Linked DNA regions of Schizosaccharomyces pombe. The protein of the gene in region 3 interacts with the protein of the main gene of each other region in a pairwise test. Each region holds a gene or a part of one and is shown on either strand. Other genes may lie near its edges. The genes, in order: dcw1, mtx1, get3 and dap1.

Evidence for each region.
Region 1: the proteins of get3 (region 3) and dcw1 interact in a two-hybrid assay, tested with the Schizosaccharomyces pombe proteins (one large-scale study listed by BioGRID).
Region 2: the proteins of get3 (region 3) and mtx1 interact in a two-hybrid assay, tested with the Schizosaccharomyces pombe proteins (one large-scale study listed by BioGRID).
Region 4: the proteins of get3 (region 3) and dap1 interact in a two-hybrid assay, tested with the Schizosaccharomyces pombe proteins (one large-scale study listed by BioGRID).

Annotation. Positions count from the first base shown.
Region 1 is NC_003421.2:510,171-515,170, reverse strand, and holds dcw1 (mannan endo-1,6-alpha-mannosidase), read left to right. Parts: upstream 1-1,630; coding exon 1,631-1,843; intron 1,844-1,889; coding exon 1,890-2,462; exon of another isoform or gene 2,463-2,535; coding exon 2,536-2,845; exon of another isoform or gene 2,846-2,895; coding exon 2,896-3,128; 3' UTR 3,129-3,405; downstream 3,406-5,000. Other genes in the region: rad16 (DNA repair endonuclease XPF), read left to right, coding at 1-265; kinetochore protein Mis18, read left to right, coding at 401-554, 600-660, 708-794, 843-878, 920-1,004, 1,079-1,240; cbr1 (cytochrome b5 reductase), read left to right, coding at 3,831-4,736.
Region 2 is NC_003423.3:1,170,078-1,176,295, forward strand, and holds mtx1 (metaxin 1), read right to left. Parts: upstream 4,156-6,218; 5' UTR 4,130-4,155; intron 4,054-4,129; 5' UTR 4,008-4,053; coding exon 2,655-4,007; 3' UTR 2,425-2,654; coding exon of another isoform or gene 1,780-2,424; 3' UTR 1,720-1,779; coding exon of another isoform or gene 1,525-1,719; 3' UTR 1,230-1,524; downstream 1-1,229. Other genes in the region: protein duc2, read right to left, coding at 1-145; SPOM_SPBC409.18 (phosphatidic acid phosphatase), read left to right, coding at 1,525-1,719, 1,780-2,424; chaperone protein Shr3, read right to left, coding at 4,752-5,288, 5,678-5,788.
Region 3 is NC_003424.3:3,634,062-3,638,890, forward strand, and holds get3 (GET complex ATPase subunit Get3), read left to right. Parts: upstream 1-2,948; 5' UTR 2,949-3,040; coding exon 3,041-4,030; 3' UTR 4,031-4,329; downstream 4,330-4,829. Other genes in the region: Cu transporter complex subunit Ctr5, read left to right, coding at 1,704-2,225; ESCRT III complex subunit Vps32, read right to left, coding at 4,710-4,829. UniProt on the Schizosaccharomyces pombe protein: ATPase required for the post-translational delivery of tail-anchored (TA) proteins to the endoplasmic reticulum. Recognizes and selectively binds the transmembrane domain of TA proteins in the cytosol.
Region 4 is NC_003424.3:4,152,705-4,156,820, forward strand, and holds dap1 (cytochrome P450 regulator Dap1), read left to right. Parts: upstream 1-2,755; 5' UTR 2,756-2,768; coding exon 2,769-3,269; 3' UTR 3,270-3,616; downstream 3,617-4,116. Other genes in the region: Clr6 and Rpd3L histone deacetylase complex subunit Sds3, read left to right, coding at 3,835-4,116. UniProt on the Schizosaccharomyces pombe protein: Required for sterol biosynthesis. Functions as a positive regulator of cytochrome P450 enzymes erg5 and erg11. Function requires bound heme.

The DNA.
Region 1 (5,000 bases), on a different chromosome or scaffold from region 3:
AGAACCAGATCCTGCTTCAGCTGCCTCTATAGGTTTGGAAGCTGGGCAAGACTCAACGAATACTTATAATCAAGCTCCACTCGACCTGCTAATGGGACTCCCATACATAACTATGAAAAACTACAGAAATGTGTTTTATGGAGGCGTGAAAGATATTCAAGAAGCTTCCGAAACCTCAGAAAGAAAATGGTCAGAACTAATTGGCCCCGAAGCAGGAAGGCGTCTTTATTCCTTCTTCCGAAAACAGTTAAAGGACTATGAGTAATTTATTTTTTTATAATTTTGTAATATATTTAATTTTTGCTTCTACATCTGATATATATTGGTTCACCATATATAGAATGTTAAGCGCACCTAATTAATAACGACTACTACTAGATAAAATGAACTTTCCATAAGTATGTCCCAGACGGAAACTAGTCATTCGGGCTATATTGATTTTAAAAAAGAGTCACAACCTAGCGTCTTCCAATGTAAAAAATGTTTTCAAATAGTTGGTGATTCTAATGCTTGGGTTATTTCTCATCGAGAATATCTTAGTTTCACTTTGAGTGGTATGTGGTAAAAGAAATGTCCATGTAATTAATTATTTCATTTAGATGCAGTAGAAAATAGTGTACGCGTTGAGGATACGTTTAAAAGGAGTGATGATGGTCTTTGGTATGTTGCATGTGTTGCTCGCCAGTTTACTAATACAAAAATTATAGCGTCTATTCAGAGTTGAGTTGTACTAGATGCAATGAAGTGATTGGGAAGGTGTATAATTCTACACCTATATATCTTGATGATATTAGGTATGTCTAGTCGTACTTGGTTGACCAAATTTTAACAAAATCATGTAGAGATATGTATACTTTTTCAATGGACAAATTACAAGCGTAAGTTCATGATTTCATCTTAGTTACTAACCCCAGTGAAGCTACCAACTAGGTAATAAGACCGTAAATCCTGAAGGCCTTACACGGTATCAAGTTGATTTAGAAATGAGAGAGGACATTATAAAGGCATGTACAGTGATTCTTTATATAGTAGAGAAAAATAAACTTTAAGAAGAATAAATTACTAATTTTATTTGTAGTTGAAGTCCTTTTGTCTCTCTCTATATGAAAAGTTCGAACTTCACGATGAAACTTTACGCTCAGTTAAGGAGACAATATCCAGTTTAAAAAAACCGAAAATTGAGGGAAAGGAAGGTAAAAAAGAAAAGGCAAGAACATACTCTAAACGAACGAGGAAATAAGTCCACCGCTAGAAAGTACTGGGATACCATGTACAAACTGTTATATTCAAACAGTTAAAATTGCGGTTAAAACAAAAAGACACAATTTAAATAATACCTTTTTGATGTATTTTTTCTAAGGTTTTCCTTCTTGCTCATTGTGATATGCATGGGGCTGTCGGTCTCACGAATAAATGTGAGAGTATTTTCATTGAAAGGCTTAAGAATTTTATAGAAGATAGATTGCGTTAAGTTATATTTTTTCCCTACCTTTGGTCGTTCGTTGTTTACTGTTTAGATTATTTCTATCAGTCATTAATGAGTCATCATTGAATCATATGAAGGGCGACAGTCATCTGGATACATATGGGAATCTTCAAAGATACTACTCTATTTAATCCTTCTTTTTCAATGAGTCTTACAATCTTTATTTCACTTGCAACTATTTTGTTTTCCTTCGCTGAAGCCATTTCGGTGGATTTGAATGACACGTCCTCCGTTGACTTAGCCACTTCTTTAGTAGCTGATGGATTATTGAATTATTATGCTGGTCAGCACAAAGGAGGAACTATCGGGATGTTCCTTCCTCCAGCCTACTGGTGGGAAGCCGGGGCTGCTTGGAATGTACGTTGAGCTTAAAAGTATAATTTATTAACAACAATGGCTTTAGGGACTTTTAAATAGATACATTGCCACTGGTAATAGTACATATAACGAGTTGGTAAAGACCAGCATGTTGTACCAATCTGGAGAGGATTCAGATTATATGCCTTCGAATTATACAACATCTGAGGGAAATGACGATCAGGCATTTTGGGGTCTGACCGTTATATCTGCCGCTGAAGCAAACTTTTCAAATCCAGCAGCCGATGAACCACAATGGTTGGAACTGGCTCAAGCTGTATTCAACCAACAGGTCACACGATGGGACACGGATCATTGCAACGGTGGTCTTCGATGGCAGATTACTGAATTTAACTCTGGGTACAACTATAAGAACACTGTCTCAAATGGAGCATTTTTTCAGCTTGCAGCTCGACTGGCTCGATTCACCGATAACGATACTTATGCTGAGTGGGCTAATGTAGCATACGATTGGAGCCAAAGGATTGGGTTTATTCAAGAAGATTACACTGTATTTGATGGGAGTTCTATAAAAGATAATTGCTCATCTATCGAAATTACTCAGTGGACTTACAATATAGGATTATACATGGCAGGAGCAGCTTACATGTATAACTATGTACGTTTAAAGGATATATACATTATAACTTTACTGTAAAATGCAAAATGATTGTAACTAACAGTTTCACCAGACGAACTCTACGGTATGGAAAACTCGAGTTGAAGGTTTTGCCAACAAAACTGCCAAAACCTTTTTTTTCAAGGATATTATGTTCGAACCAGTATGTGAAATAGCTCTTTCATGTAACTATGATCAAACGTCTTTCAAAGGCTTTTTGACCAGATTTATGGTCTACACGGCACAAATGGCTCCATTCACTGCACCGTTATTAGAACCATTGTTGATATCCACCGCCAAAGCTGCAGCCGGGGCATGTTGCGGCGGTTATGATGGAGTGACTTGTGGTGTTCAATGGTGGTGGAATAACGATACTTGGGATGGTATGTTTGACTGTTAAAAAAAAACAGTATTGGTTCTAACTTTATAATAGGACTTTATGGCCTTGGAGAGCAAATGTCTGCATTGGAAGCTATTCAAGCTCCCTTACTTTTAAAATCGCTTCAAGTCTTTAAGGCTTCGAATGGAGGATCATCAACAGGAGACCCCAATGCAGGGCTTTATACTGCTCCTGTATCTTTCGCTAACAAAAATTTTGAAAACCTGAGGAAACATTGGATGCTATTGGGGTTCTTCCTTTTAGTGCCTACACTGGTCCTTTACTAAAAAATGTGATGTTAAGTAATGCAAGTTGATGGATCTAGGGTTTTTAAATTGCTTCTTCTTACTTGGAAACAATTACCTGTCTTTTAATGCTTGTTCCTCAGAGACGGTGTTTCACTTCCAAACTGTATACCGAATTATATATAAATAGATGGATATATCTCATGTATTCCGGTAGTAGATCATTGCTGAAAGACTATTTATTAACGAATTTACAAAATTTAGTTATTAAAATTTAATTCATTTCTTAAATTATGAATCGGCGTGATAAACAAGCATATGCTTGCGAACAAGTATGGTTCGACAAGCTGGTTTTTCAAAATAAATAATTTTAGCAGATTTTGAAGCGAAAGCCCTCAATCTATATAATTTACAATGAAATGGATTATGTGATGATTTATGTTCTCTTTCGTCAGTATTCCATGCTTAGTTGTTCATGACCTTAAAAAATCATTCGAGAAATCTGATTAGTTTTATAGACTTGCCCTTGACCAAACTTCTACTGTTAGCAATACTGCAGGAATCGTGAAAACTAGAGATTTCTTTTAAATTTTTTGAAACTATTGAAAGGTTTCTTATTCTTTAAATTATTTTAGTTTCTTGAAGATTTTGTAATTTGAGTCTTCTGGAAACGTTTCGCATTTCTTCTGCTTTCAGGCTTCTCTACTTTTTCTTTAGTTATTTTGGCTCACAATCCTAATTGAAATGGCCAAACAAACTCTTCTTAGTACCCCGTTGCATGGAGTCTATATTCCAGTGTTTTTGATCATCTTTGGTACTTACATTGTGAAACGCGAATGGGTGGGTTACGCTATTGTTGTGGCATTCTCTCTTGGTTTTCATAAGTTCTGGCGTGGACGCGTTCGTAAAGTATTGAGTGATAAAATTCAACAATTTGAACTTAGTGATAAAGCTGTATTGAACCACAACACTGCCATTTATCGTTTCCGTCTGCCTCGCGCTAACGATGTTCTTGGTCTCCCCATAGGACAACATTTAAAGGTCTTTGTTGATGTTGATGGTAAGGAGTATTCCAGATCTTACACTCCTCTGTCTTCCGATGCTGACAAAGGTTATTTTGATTTGCTCGTAAAGTCTTACCCCAATGGCAAAGTGAGTAAGAAGTTTTCTGAACTTAAGATTGGTGATACCATCGGTGTTCGTGGCCCTAAGGGAAATTGGAAGCATCGCACTGGCCTCGCGCGCCATTTTGGCATGATCGCAGGCGGAACAGGTATTACTCCTATGCTTCAAATCATTCGTGCTGTTCTTTCTAATTTTGAAGATCCAACGGAAATCACTCTTTTATATGCTAATGTATCAGAGGGTGATATTGTTCTTCGTGATGAGATTGACGCACTTGCTAAGAAGGATCCTCGTTTTACCGTTCATTATGTTTTGAACAATCCTCCTGAAAACTGGAAGGGAAGTGTTGGATTTGTTACTCAAGAACTTATCAAGGCGCATTTCCCTGCTCCTTCTCCTGAAACCAAAGTTCTTATTTGTGGCCCTACTCCCATGGTTAATTCACTCAGAGAAGCTACAGTTGCATTGGGATATGAAAAGTCCCGAGCCATTTCGAAGCTTGAGGATCAAGTATTTGTCTTTTAGATTTTAATTTTGATTATTTCCCTTCCCTCGTTTCAATAATGTTCTTCGTTTTATGTTGCCAATCGACTCACTCTACTGCAATTTATCTTACTACACGGCACATGTTTTAAGTAGTTAATTATTTGACGTGACTATATGTTTACGAATAAGCTAGAGACTTTTTTATCTGCTTGGATTGAAGTTAGCAATGATACGTACACAGTCTAGTCTAGTGAAGGATCAAGCCAATGCAATCTTAAAAGAGAAATAAACAAAATTTACATT
Region 2 (6,218 bases), on a different chromosome or scaffold from region 3:
GCTCGAAATATTCTTCGTCTGGAGTTTCATAATCGCGCAGACGTACTTTGACATCTCCTTCAAAGTACTTGCTTTTTACAACATTTGGAGTTCCATTAATAGAAATCGGTTCTTTTTTAGATCCACAAATTAAGAAACACTTCATCTCCGGACGGAGAGGGCGTAATAAAGAAAAGAGTAGCTTATCCAAGTTGGCAAAAATAATATCGGTGTATATGTACTACTTACTAATGTGCGTAATTCTTAGCAAATTCAAACCAAACGGCCTTTTACCAAACCTGTGCTCACTCTCTGTATGTTTGGCAGTAGCTATGGAATATTGATGTTCGTTAAGAGCGTTTCATAAATTAAAGAAGCCAATTTAAGGAAGAAGGAAAGGAAGGTGGTAGTAGTGTGTATTCGTCCAAATGAGACACTCGGGCATGGTTATGAACACTACTTAAGTATAGTAAAACATGTGCCTTAAAGAAGACCAATTTTTTTTTTTTAAAAGCTTCTTTTTGCCAGTGATTTCTCTGTTTTGGAATATCTTATCGATTCGTTGAAATTAATGAAGTTATATAATTTTAGCTGATAGACATCAAGTCTTTGTAGCGAGCATCACAAACCAAACATCAAATCAAAAAAAGTATACTTTGTTTTGTTTTAAAAACATACAAACATAGTTTCTCTTTTTTTTTTCTTTTTTTGAAAAAGAACATTCCACTACAAGAATCAATTTCTTGCAGTTCCAATTGTTTTCACCAGAAAACAGTTTTATAACACAATATTAGGCATATTTAAAAAGAATTGGTGCTGAGGTTATGCTTTTGGAGTATTTTTTTGTAATACTCCTACATGTCAACATTGCTATTTGTTGCTTACATTGACTTTTTAAGTTAATAGATTGTCGCTTTATTTTGAGAACTCTCATAGATAGATAAAACATATTGCTTAAACTAAATGAATAAATGATTTTGCAATTGAAATCTTGAGCATCCTGAAAGTGTTTAAATTGAATAGACGCTAAATGATGAGTGATTTTGCGCACTTGTTTCTGAATAATCGGGAGCTCAATGCAATTTAACCCGTTATTAAAGTTTTTAATCAAAACCGAGTTTTGTTTTACTTTTACAAAACCCGAATCACTTGGTTCTGTAATACTTATCCAAACAAGTTTCAATAAGTGCACATACAGAATTAAGCTTAATAATTACTTTCGATTTAAGAAATAAATAAATTTAATTATGATTTTATAACCGTAAGAGAGTATAGATTACCTTTGCTAAGCATAAAATTGTCGATTTAAAAAAAAAAAAAAAGCACGTGAACTTGCGAAGCAATGTCCAAATTTGAAAGGATAATAAAAAAAGAACAGTACAAAACAAAAACTATTCAACAATAGGTGGATTAAATCAGCAAAATGAAATTGGGTTGTTTGAGGCTTGAGGTCATTGCACTGTCAGTCTTCACCGTCGTCGCATCACTTCACCTCCATTGCAGGGCAAATTGTCACGCTGAAGGAAATTGCTTAATTTTTAAACCATGGAAGCAGTAGGCAAACACGTTAAGTTATTTTGGAACGTTTATAGTGATTATGCCGTACTTATAGCCATATCTTTAAGCTATTTCGTATTTGACGTACTAATGTTGCCCTTTACTCGCCAATTTTCCTTAGAAGACATAACCATTTCTCATCCATTTGCACTTCATGAGCAAGTTCCCACAAAGTATCTCGGTGTATGTTGTTTATCTTGATGATTATAGACAATTGGTAAAATTGCTTAGCTAACCCTCTAGATTATTTGTGTTTTCTTTCCTGCACTTGTCCTCTACGGATTCGGCAAATTAAGAAATAATTCGTTACTATTTTGGAAATCTCTTATGGGTCTCTTATACTCTACAATGGTCTGCGGTCTTTGCGTTTCTCTACTTAAAAATGCGGTGGGCAGGCCACGACCCGACTTCCTTGCACGCTGCCAACCTTTTGAGTCAACTCCAAAAACTGGTTTGGTAGATGTTCTATCTTGTTCTGTGCCATGGTCGGATAAAGTATTGCAGGATGGGTTCCGTTCTTTTCCATCTGGCCACACATCATTTTCATTTGCTGGCCTTGGATTTCTAGCAATCTTCCTTGCAGGTCAGTTAAAGATGTTCCGTAATAAAACCTCTTCATGGAAGGTAGTAGTCCCACTTGTGCCTTTGAGCATTGCATCCTGGATTGGTCTCAGCCGCAGTCAAGATTACCGTCACCACAAAGAAGACATTGCAGTCGGTGCCCTTTTTGGTTTTGCAATTGCGTATGTCGTTTATCGTCAACTCTTTCCTCCTTTAGATCATCATAATGCCGATATCTTATATGTCCAAGCTGAGCTCGATGAAGGTTATACCAACGTTCATTCAGCCGGTAACTCATCAGCCACGAACGCAGAACAGATGGTTTAAGGATCCCTTTATCCTTCTTTTTATTTTATTATTTTGTTAACATGACAACAACGTTTTATTGCTGCAGTGTTCTTATATAGATACAAAAAAACCTGATACTAGTATTTATCTAGATTTATTAGATTTTGACTAATAAATATGTAAAGAAAACTTGGAAGCCGATATCGGGTTAATATTTAACAAATGTAGATTATGTTTAAGAACCGAGAAATTATTTTTTGTTTTTACAATCAAACAATCTCTTCCTCCAAGTCATCCAAATCATCTAAATCAAATTCTTCATCGTCATCATCGTCATACCCAAATTCTTCATCCATAATTTCATCTTCTGCAAATCCAGAAAACAATAAATCTTGCGCTGATAAAGGTTGCAAATCAAAAGAACTTGACTCTTTTTCTTCTTCCTTAGGTAACTCTTTACTTGATGAGGTTTCTGAACTGTCATGGGTCGCTTTTGATTCAGTAGTTTCATCAATTTCTTTTTCTTGTATGCTTTCTTTAGCATCATCTACTTCCTCAAAGGAAGCCTCATCATCTTCCGTCTCAATGACAACTATACCATTGCTGATGACAAACCATACAAAGCTGAAAGCGGATGCAAAAATAAAGAATCCATTCCTCGCCCACAGCAGTTTCCTTTCGGGAGGGACGCTAAACTTAGTAATTGATTTCCTTGTATCATTTGCTTTGGCAGTAACATTGTTCCAAGCAAGGCGAGCTATAGTCAATAGATTTTCGGGTTGAACTTTAATCGATAAAGGAGAAAGTATGTTTGAATCATCGGAAAACCAGGTTTCGCGTAAAGATTTGAGATAGGCATAAAGCTTGGGAGAGTTGAATTGCAAACATGGTCGCAAAGTTGCTTGAGGAAGCTCATTGGTGAAAGCATGGAAAGATAAATAGGCGTAAAACAAACAATCGAGAGATGTTGGCTTTTCACCGAATATAAATTTTGAATCTGAAATCAGGGACTCAAGCGAACCATATACCTGCCGAGCTAATGACGAAATTCTTATACGACGAGCTTGCGTGCGCAGTAGAGCTTGCCTATGTCTAGTAGCATTAGTCCATTTATGAGAAATAGGCATCCTTGATGCTTCATAAGAGACTTCTTCGTCGCGAATACCAAGTGTTTGAGCCAAGCGTTCTTTTGCTTGCCGTTGCAAAGCATTGGGTGTCAAATAATTATGAGGAAATTTAAGTGCCTTTGACCAAGCAGGTCTTATTGCTTCAACAAAATTTTCCTCATTAACAAAGGCTTCTAATAACCAAAGGTCATTGACGGAACCTTCCAATAAACTGGTGAAGGCCATAACATTGGCCAGCTGTTTCGCATCAAAATTATCCAAATTATAGCCCTTCTGTTTCAAGTATATTAAAATGTTTTTCAAAGATCCAATCCAAACATGACCATCCCACAAAGCTGGTAGCTTATGGGTAGGGCTCATACCTGAATTTGCAGTGCGAAGAATTTCAATTTCGTCCTTTGGGACGGCAAGTGCGCAATAAATTAATGCCGCTAAGCATCCAGGATCCATCGTTGGTTGCCCAAGTCCTGGGCTATAAATGAAAAGTTGCAACATTTTGATCAAAAAATGACCCGAACGAATGAATTGAAAAAGTTACCGTCTACAGTAGGGTTGAGATTAGAGAAACACAGAAGAAAGAAAAAAAAGGTAATAACTAACCAACTAGTCCAACTTACCAAATTCGCTGAAGCTAGTTACAATTATCATTCTGATGCTATGCAGTCAAGTAAGCTATACGAACAAGTAACATTGTTACCTATTTATTAGTTGTTAAAAAGTGAATTAAACATCGATAATTAGCACAATAAATCGATTGAGCATTTGAACTTTGAGATTTTACTTAGTATATTTGTATGGCGCTTCTGCTGTATCTGCAGCGTAAAACCCATCTAAAATGAGACTTTGTTTATGCATCCATAGTATAGAAGAATATACAATCTCACAAAAGCTTCACTTGTGATAATCCTTTTTGCACAATGAGTACATATTTAATTATTAAGAAGTATAAGTGTGCTAAAGACTATTCTAAATCCAAACATAACGAACTATTCCTCTATCGAAAATTCAAGTCAATTTATTTCTTATATAAGACAGTATAAATCTTGTATATATATAATTGTACGTATGAATACACATGTAAGCTTTCCCAGTTACCGTCAATGCAAGTCACTCTTTGCTTTCTAGTTAGACATAAACTTTGCGTCAAAGAGTTGATGACGGACTAGCAACAATAATTAGCAAGATATAAAATAGTTCACTCTATTCCAAAAGTTGTAAAATTAGACCCAAGTGGTTTGTTTACTTGCGCTTTGAAACAGATTCGGTGGAAACAGTTTCTACACTCTGAGTAGTAGCAGACTCGGATTCCAATTTAGCCTTTTCAGCTAATTCTTGCTCCCTCATATCTTCAGCGTATTCGCGCTGCTGGATACTTTGAACATGATATCCGAAAACGTATCCAAGTTGAATAAGAATGACACCAGCAAGAAGAAATTCAACAAGAACATGAGAAGCAGCAAGAACGGACAAGTGCATATTTCGTGGGAATTGAACATAATTCTGTAGCTTAACAACCAACATAGAAGGAGCAACATTAACAATAAACAAAATTAGTGCAGTAAGATAAAGAAGCGTGCTAGAGTAAAAGAACAATTTGTCATCACCTTTAGCGCCAGTGGCTTGAATAAGATGGAAAATCATATTAAGTCCCATGATGGTATATACAGTATATTTTACAATGAAATGGGATCCAGCCACCAAAGTATAGTAAGTTTCAGCAGCATCGAAAGCAGACTCAGGGCCAGGACTCCATAAGGTATTCACATCGGCAACGCTCTAAATGACATTAGTAATTTATGCTAAGAAAATAAAGACTATGAACAAAGTAATCAATTCGAAGTGAAGCTCCAAAAACATAAGAACAACAGAAAAATGAGCAGCGCGGCAAACATTGAGCGGTAAGATGAATGCTCGTATCCGATTATGAAAACTTAAACAGACAAAAAGCTCCTTTTTAGAAACGTTCCTGATAAAATAATTTTCCAGATTTATTTTAACAATGCATGTTTTGTAAAACAAATTCAGAATTCACTCAAAGTACCGACTTATAATTTCTCATATTCTGCTCCCTTTGTCTCCAAAAGCTAAACGAAATTGATATCAAATGAAAGTTGATTTTCAAATGAATAATCTTAGAATAAAATAGAAATTTGATTGGAACATACGCTGTGGAAAAGTAAAGCAAAAATAAAACTAGTTGACATAAGGACTCCATAACGGGCAGCGACCTTCAAGCCCTTTTCATCAGCAAAACGAAATATGGATCTTTTAGCCATCTTGAATAATGATAATAAACTTTTTTTTTGTTAATGAAAATATACGTTAGTGGTAGGTTAATTAAGACTACCTTTTTATACCAAAGTGATACCACTCCGCTTTCGACGGTCTAAAGGATTGTATGAGTATAAGGAAATCGAACGCATTTTCCACTAATATGCATTGTATGCAGAAAAACATCATGAACGGCTATCTAAATCTCACGAATAAGAAAAATCAACCCAAGATAAATCAGTTGGCAAAATTATTTAATATAAAATATAACCAGATATATTTGAGCGACTATTGTATGTCACTATTTATTGTAACTGAATACACAACATCATAGCGTTTTCAAGTTAAGCGAGACTGTAAAGCTTATATCAAAATAAGGGAATTTATTAATTGGCTGTAAATAAAACAAATGAATGCCAATGCCTCGATATGTAA
Region 3 (4,829 bases):
GTCAATTTGTATCAAGTATGTCCATTGTTTTCAATTTATCTTCATAATCATTGACCAACCCAAATTGCGGGAAAAAATACTTCCCTACTGAATACACTCAATAAAACAATAACTGGTATGTAGTGATTGATCATCATAAACCATTTTTCAAAAGAAAACCTAATTGATCGATTTTATTGCCTTTTTGTAGTATTGTTCTACGCAGTTTTTCTTACTACGAACTATTCTTCTGCACTGATAACAAGCTACACTTAAGGGCTGCATTCAAGATTTCTTGACTATATAATTTATAAACTAGACATGTTTAATGTCTACGGCCATACCTAGGCGAAAACACCAGTTCCCGTCCGATCACTGCAGTTAAGCGTCTGAGGGCCTCGTTAGTACTATGGTTGGAGACAACATGGGAATCCGGGGTGCTGTAGGCTTCATTTCGTTTTTTTGTTTTTGTTTCTGTGCAAAAAGAATGTTTGTGTTTTCAATGCTTCGATACAATTATTGTCTTGAACTCGCTGAAACCATAAACTGATAATGAATAAACCATTAAAGTACCAAAAATATAAATGTGTACGATTTGAAATATTTTTTTTTTTTTTTTTTTTTTTTTTTTTTTTTAGGCCATGAATGACAACTTTGTTTTAATTTTCTTGTAATATCTCATAAAGGTTTGGTTTTTATAACCCACTCAATATTTGGTGATTTTTATTTTATTTTATTTAAATGGACCATACGTTCATTCCTTATTAAGCAATTATGTCAAGAATAAAAAAAGAATTTAAAATCATAATCGTTTTAAAAAAAAAATTTTAAAAGGAGCAGCTAAATTAAATTAATGTGACATTGCATGGTTATTTATAAATTATCTTCTACAAATAATTAAACCAATTAAGTGTATAAATGCTCCTGTAGTGCTTTAATCAAAAGAAGAATCTTAATTGTTATTGTATTCATACAAATCTTACTTTACTTTTATATCTATTTACAACGTACGAAAATCGTATTTGAATATCAATTTAGGCAAACCTCATTTGTTTATTTTTTTTGGAGTTTCTTGTAACTCTTAATGTATACGATAACATCACCGGGATTAAAATTTACATATTCATATTCATCCAAATTCCTTTGTATGTTTGATTTAATTAATTAATTAATTTTGCTTTTTTTTTTTATTTTTATATTCTTTTCGATTAACGCGACCCGCCGCAATACCTTAATCACCATTTGGCGGGAATTTTGCTGAGCGATTATAGCTGGTAGTTTTTACCCAAAGGAGAAAAAGTCGCATATCAGTAGATGATGCTTTTAAACTGCTATAAAAGGTAATCCTACCCCCGTTCACTTTGAAGCGATATTTGAGCGTTCAGCTTAATTGAACATTCAGGACTTGAAAAAAACCTGTAGTGATCATTCTAATTCAAGTGTATAGGTAGCAGTAAGAAGTTGCTAAATTATACATTTTGTCTGTCTGCGAAAAAGGCCCAGCTCATAGAGAGATATTTCGCTTAAAGGTGGTAAAACTAGTGTTATTAACTTACTTTCAACAAAAGACATTTGTTTTCGCATTGTTCCGGTTATACTTGTTATTTTAGTTTAAGACGCTTTCCATTGAGTGTCTTCTTTTCTTTCTTTTTATCGGCTCTTATCCTTTATTGACAGATACCTAAGATACTTCTCAATATTTGGCTAACGCTTCTTGCAACAAAATGAGCTTAAGTAAGATGAGTATGAGTGGCATGAGTGGCATGGGTATGGGTAGCTCCAGTAACTCGAGTGCTGCGACATGTCGCATGAGTATGCTATGGAATTGGTATATACATGACTCGTGTTTCCTGGCTAAATCCTGGCATATCAACACTGGAAACAAATTCGCCGGTAGTATTATTGGAATTTTTTTCTTCGCCGTCGCTATTGAAGGTTTGTCCCTCGTTCAAAGAATGTTTGATCGCTGGATTGTTGCTCACTCTAATGGCAAAACTTTAAGTGGACCTCTGCGTATCTTCTTTCCAAGTTCCACTGTGCATGTTACTGTCTGGCAACAACTAATACGAGCAGCCATGTATTCATCGTTTTACTTGTCCGCTACCATCCTCATGTTGATTGTAATGTCGTTTAACGGATATGCCATTTTGTTCGGTTTCGTAGGTGCTTGGATAGGATTTTTCCTTTTCGCGAGTGATACTTATGGAACCCCATCCACTGGTACTGGATGCTGCGAATCAAGATAGTCATATTTAATTGTACAGGGGTATTCATAAGGATCCGATTTTAATGTACTATTAATACTTTTTACGATTGTTTTTGTTTGGTGTTGGGTTTCGATAGTGTGTTTTATGTTTTTCTTTGTTTGCTTATCAGGGATTATATTCAGACTTAGAAATAATAACTTTTTCTTTAATTCAGTTTAATATATCTCCTCTATCGGTATGCAAAAACTGGTAGTTTACTAAATATGTTGTTGATATGGATGCAAATTTATATGATGGTACAAAATAGTATATTCTCTGCTCAGTATGATTCAAAGTTGTTCCTTGATTTCTTGTGAGTGCTTTAGTCATCAACAAACATCTGTAGCTCTGATCCTTGATTTACGTTGAATGATTCCATGTAGTTCTTTTCTTTATAACGAATATGGTAATCGAGCTTCAGCAGGCCAAAACATATTATACGATTAGAAAATCCATTTAAAGGAATTTTTTTAATTATGAAATTTCAGCATACCGTATTTAGCATTCTACTAGCATGGCTTTACGAATCCTTGATAAAAAACTTACTTAATTGTTATATTGCTAGCGTATCAAAAATAGGAACAAAACATGCTATACACTATTAATTGTAGTTGCAATGTACAATTATTAAGTCTTTAATTAAATTTTTATCTCTGATCGTTGGGAACTGATCTGCCGCGTACTTAGGATCTTCATTTTCACTTGCAAACTGTCGTAACACCTATCCTCAGCATATCGCATCGTGCATCTGGTCAACGAGAGTCTATAAGAAGACTAGCTTCAGATTAAAAAAAAAAATTCTCTAATAAAGTAAAATGTCCTTCGACCCATTGCCTGGAACCTTAGAAAACCTTCTTGAGCAAACTTCCTTAAAATGGATTTTTGTAGGAGGAAAAGGCGGTGTAGGAAAAACAACTACGTCGTGTTCATTGGCCATTCAAATGTCAAAAGTTAGATCCTCTGTTCTACTTATCTCCACGGATCCTGCTCACAATCTTTCTGATGCCTTTGGCACGAAATTTGGAAAAGACGCTCGTAAGGTTCCTGGTTTTGATAATCTGAGTGCCATGGAGATCGATCCTAATTTATCCATTCAGGAAATGACAGAGCAAGCTGACCAACAAAATCCCAATAATCCTTTATCTGGAATGATGCAGGATTTGGCTTTTACAATACCAGGTATCGACGAGGCATTGGCATTCGCTGAAATCCTTAAGCAGATCAAATCTATGGAATTTGATTGTGTCATTTTCGATACCGCTCCTACTGGACATACGTTAAGATTTTTGAATTTTCCAACTGTTTTGGAAAAAGCTCTCGGCAAGCTTGGCGGTCTCTCCAGTAGATTTGGCCCTATGATTAACCAAATGGGTAGCATAATGGGTGTAAATGCCAATGAACAAGATCTATTTGGAAAGATGGAAAGCATGCGTGCTAATATTTCTGAAGTTAACAAGCAATTTAAGAATCCAGATCTTACTACTTTTGTGTGTGTATGTATTTCCGAGTTCCTTTCTCTTTATGAAACTGAAAGAATGATTCAAGAACTTACTAGTTATGAAATTGATACTCACAACATCGTTGTTAACCAACTTTTGCTTGATCCCAACACCACTTGTCCCCAGTGTATGGCTAGAAGAAAAATGCAACAAAAATATTTGGCGCAAATTGAAGAGCTCTATGAAGACTTTCATGTTGTCAAAGTACCGCAAGTTCCAGCTGAAGTTCGCGGTACTGAAGCTTTGAAGTCTTTCTCTGAGATGTTGGTCAAGCCTTACGTTTATCCTACTTCTGGCAAAGAATAATGTATTTTTTCAATCTTATCCACTGCTGTTAATAAGGGTGTCAAAAGCCTCTAAATGTATATTTTTTAACAAATTGATTGACAGCTTGAATATGCATATTAGAATGGCTGTTTCTAAGTTTTTACATTACTTTTATTTTGTTGAAGAATTCTTATCGTTTCCTCAGTTGAGCTTGACTATTTGCCAAAGCAAATAAACCAAAAGCGCTAGGTTGATACACTGTTTAATGATTAAACACAACAGGATTCTGAGCACACTGTTTAGATTAATATTAATCAATTTGACAAGATATGAACGTGTCTGGAATAACTCAAAACATTAAAAAGTTAACTTGAACTAACAGTCATTTGATACAGTTGTTTTAGTAGAATGAAGAAGACGTAATATGTAAAATTCTTCAGCTAGTTTTTCCGTAGATTATTTAACTACACCAATTATTAAAATACAATGAAAAAACACACATCCGAACATGAGGACGGAGACCTATAAGTTATAGTCTAATAATGGTATTGTACATAAAATTTGTATTTAGGCTTCCATGATGACTCATAACAAGGAAAACATAGAATACTAACAACTGACAAATTAAATAATTCCATAAGTTATAACAGAAACCTTAGAAGATGACTTTAACATATTGAGAAAATAATAAAAATACCGAGCAAGCGTACTGGTCACTTTAAAGAGAGAATTCAGCCTGTAGTTTTCGAAGTTCTTCTTCTTCATCCAATTCTTGAGGCTTTGAAATAGAAGGGAGGTCTTTGACTTGAGACGGGACAGCAGGAACAGCAGGAGTGTG
Region 4 (4,116 bases), 520 kb from region 3:
AATATTAAAGGTTTATGAATACCAGTTAAGACTTCTTTCGTAAAGAGAAAGTTATTAAAAGGAAAAGACCTACGCACTTAACCCAAATACACGAGATTATCGCCCTTTTTCTCTTTCTTGTTAGCGTAGGCTTTTAAAGTGTAATAAGTGAAGCGGGAAAAAGAGAAAGAGAAAAGGAATAGGATTACAATGTAAAAAATCGAAAATTCAACACTTTCTAAAACTTTTCTCCAGCCTCAGTGTTAAGATTGTTTCGTTTCTAGAATGGGCTAATCGCTTGTTGATGGACCGGGCAATTAGAGAAACAGCGAGGGCATTGCTTTTTATGTGGTAGTAGAATGGTAATCATCGTAAATTGCTTATACAACATCCGGTTTGCTGCGCTAAACTAAATAACGAAAAGGAATATAACAACAGTAAATGATCTGGTGACTTCGGGGGTTGGGTTGGAGTAGGCTAAAAACGTAATAGATCGGTGTTATTAAAGGATTCAAGAAAGCATTGAATGTGTAGCAGCATATTCTTTTAATTATTTGTAAGATATTTTTTTTGATTTCATGAAAGAATACTGGAGATTTGATTCACGACTGTGGATGATGTTTACATATACTATTAAACATTGATTAATTTTGTAGACTAAAAACAGTAAACAACGTTATCAGCTTCAAAAAGTTTTTAAATTTGAATTAATAATTTTTTTATCTTAATAAATAAAGCTATACTACCAAAATTCTTCAATAATAAAAAAACCCTCAATCACCTACTACCGTCCTTTAATTACACTCTTCATCGGCTTCACTTCCTCGCCGAATCTTTGTTTACTTGTACCATCGGTGTTTATTGATTTTATTCGGCAAAATAATTCATCAAAGAAGAAGGGCAACACTTGTATGATTTCTTGGTATGACTGTACATTGGAGGAAATAATGACTGACCTGTTTTTCTTCTTTTTTTTTTTTTTTTTTTTTTTAAAAATTACCGGTCTTACGATACATTCACATCTACCGCTTGACAACAGCTGCAAATTTCATTACACTTGGATATGTAAGATGGTCAATAAAATCAAACGATTTTCTTAGGCTAGTCAAGTCATACTTACACAACAAATTGTCAAGAAAAATTACCAACCATCATCATATAGACACTGTATATAAGCCTTCGGTGAATATTTACACTAAACTAGCCGAACAATTTTTCCATAAGAAATATTATTTTATATTCAATTTAATCTTACAGCTCCTGTAAATAGCCGATCGTTCAAGTATATTTTGTATATTTATTTACTCGATTAATGGTATTTGTTTACTTTAATAATTATTATTAACGGAGATAAAAAGGTTCCTTTCTACTACTAGTCAAATACATAAGCTTCTTTAACAAAAACAAACCCTCGATTATGTAGAACAATGCTTGCTGCTATATTCTATAGTCCATCAGCATGAGCGTTATTTCTGATTCATAATGGTTTACCGAGAGAATTAATGGTAGCAAAATGACCTTGGATTTCAGGAGAGCCGATTCCGAATAGTTGGGATCTTGTTTGCTAAATCGAATGCTTAATTCTAGTAACTAATCCCATAACGACTGTTAGATTATCAGAATTTTCTTATTCTGTTCATTCGCTTCAGGTTAGGTTAATGTGACTGCTTCGTAGTACCGGATGGAAATAATAAAGGTTGCATTTTCCTTAGTTTATAGCCTACCCAACGCACACAAGTCAAATTGCTTGCAAAAGAAATTTCCACGTTTGCAAGTGCCAATGATTGTGCGAAGACTATTGCCTCTTTTGGCATGTAGTCATCTTAGTACTCTTTACTGCATTCTTCAACTTTGTGAAATTGCAGTGAGTCGGTAGGCTACAACATATTAATGTAGTTGCTAGGTAGCTTTATAGGATGAACGTGATTAGCTTGATGATATAAACTAAGACTTGTTTTACCATATTTAAATAAAACTTTGATATCAATCGATAATTCTACTGAAACGGAAATAATGTTGGAGAGTAGTGAGATACTAGTTGGTAATCTAGCACACAAAGCAAGTAAACTAGTTGGTTTAAAAAAAGGATAAATTTAAATCGTAATGATACTGATATATTGCTAGTTATATATAAAGCACTTTTAATCATAGTCTTGAAAGGTTTGCATTTTGTACGAGTGGAAGCATACTATTTCAAATGATATAGGCATGCGTTCGACTCATGCTGCTACCATGATGAACACGAGCCAGAAGGCTCAATATTCTATTAAACCCAGCTCTTTGAACCAATAGTTGTGAAACGAGAAACAAGTTCTGAACAGCAGTTTGTTTAAACATTGTTCGTGTATGCCTGGATAACTATGCTGTTGAGAAATTTTGTTTTTTTTACTAAAAAAATGTCGTGCGACTACGATTTCTCGCTTTGTTGAATAAATCAAAACACCATTACGCAGACTATACATGCATAAAGAGTATTGTAACCTTTTGTAAGATTCTTGTCATAGTAAATAAGATATGCTATGTTCCATTCTGTGCGTATATATGAGCAACATAATCATTGATATATAATTACATAACTAACCAAAATTTTTAACTTATGCTTTATTACAGTGCCTTTTAAACAGTTTATGTGTGCAGAAAACGAGACTGCAATAAACATATTCTCTATAACCGTCCGTATATAGTAATGTACCATGGTAACAAAACTATCGTACGTATTCTTCTAAGCAGGTAGTGCGAAGGTTTTGAGAGAATCATGCGACCAGTTGATTCTTCCATAAACCAACACCATGGCATCTACACAAGTTGTTTTTATAGTAACCTTATTTCTTTATTTGCTAATCACTCGCTGGAGAAGGAAGAATGAGAAATCTTTTATTGCAAGCGAAGAGCCAAAACAGCCCGAATGGAGAGATTATACTCCAGCAGAACTGAAGGAATATAATGGCTCCAAAAATTCATTGGTTTTTCTTGCTATCAAGGGAACTGTGTACAACGTTACAATGGGATCAAAATTTTATGGTCCACAAGGCCCTTATAGTGCTTTTGCCGGTCATGATGCCAGTCGTGGTTTAGCAAAAAATAGTTTTGACGATGAATTTATTCCTGATTCAGATGCAGAAGAATTGGATGATTGCAGTGATTTAAACGATGAGGAGAGGCAGGCTCTAAACGATTGGAAAGCATTTTTTGACCAAAAATATCAAGCTGTTGGCAGGCTGATAAGTCCCAGAGAGGCCAGAGCAGCAGCTACTATTTCAGAAACCGAAGAAAAAGTTGCGCATAATTAATAGCGACAAACCTGTTTTTTATGACTTCTTTCATGCTTATGGGTTTATGATCTTTTCTTTGGGATAATCTAGGACAAGTGGTATACGTTCCGCGTCCGAAGGATCAATCTGTAGTATTTGGGTACATTTGATGATGTGTTATGAAATTACTAGAAGCATGATTGCTTTCAAAAATTATCTTGCATGAAATAGAGGCTCTTAAGCAATGTTGAAAAAAGTCCTTGTAGCAGTAATTTTGGTGCCTTGATAAGGTTACGATAGCATCTTTTAAAAAACATTGTATGTCATTTCCATGTTTTTTTTTGACAATGAAAACTTAATAACCATCTGTGTCTTCTATTTTGTTGTAACATATATAAATGGTAGTAGATGTATGATCCATTTTGAAGAATTATTGTAAACCGTTGTTCATCTGATAATTATTAGCACAACTTTTCTCGTTTAGATAACTTTATTTCGTATTCGGAGAATCTTACCCTTACCCTTAAAATCCTTCGTCAGTAGCTGGAAGAAGGACAAAATTGTTTTGTCACGAACAAATAGGTGGTAAAAGAGTTAAAGCGTCATGGACGTCCTTTCGAGAGTCTTTGACAATGAAAAAGAAGAACTGGATCCTTTATTGAACAATCCACTTACAGCTAGTGAGTTCCGAGCCAAAAAAGCAGAACTGGAAGCTGAATTGGAATCTATTCGTAACGGAACTTGTAAAACTCTTTTAGATTTGGCAGATGAACTTAGAAGGAGTAGAGATGAGGAATTGGAAATTGCAGAGCGTTGGAGAACGTTTTTGGTGAATCGGGCACAAGAGGAATACGAAGTGGAGATGAAAGCAGCCAAGGAGGAGTAC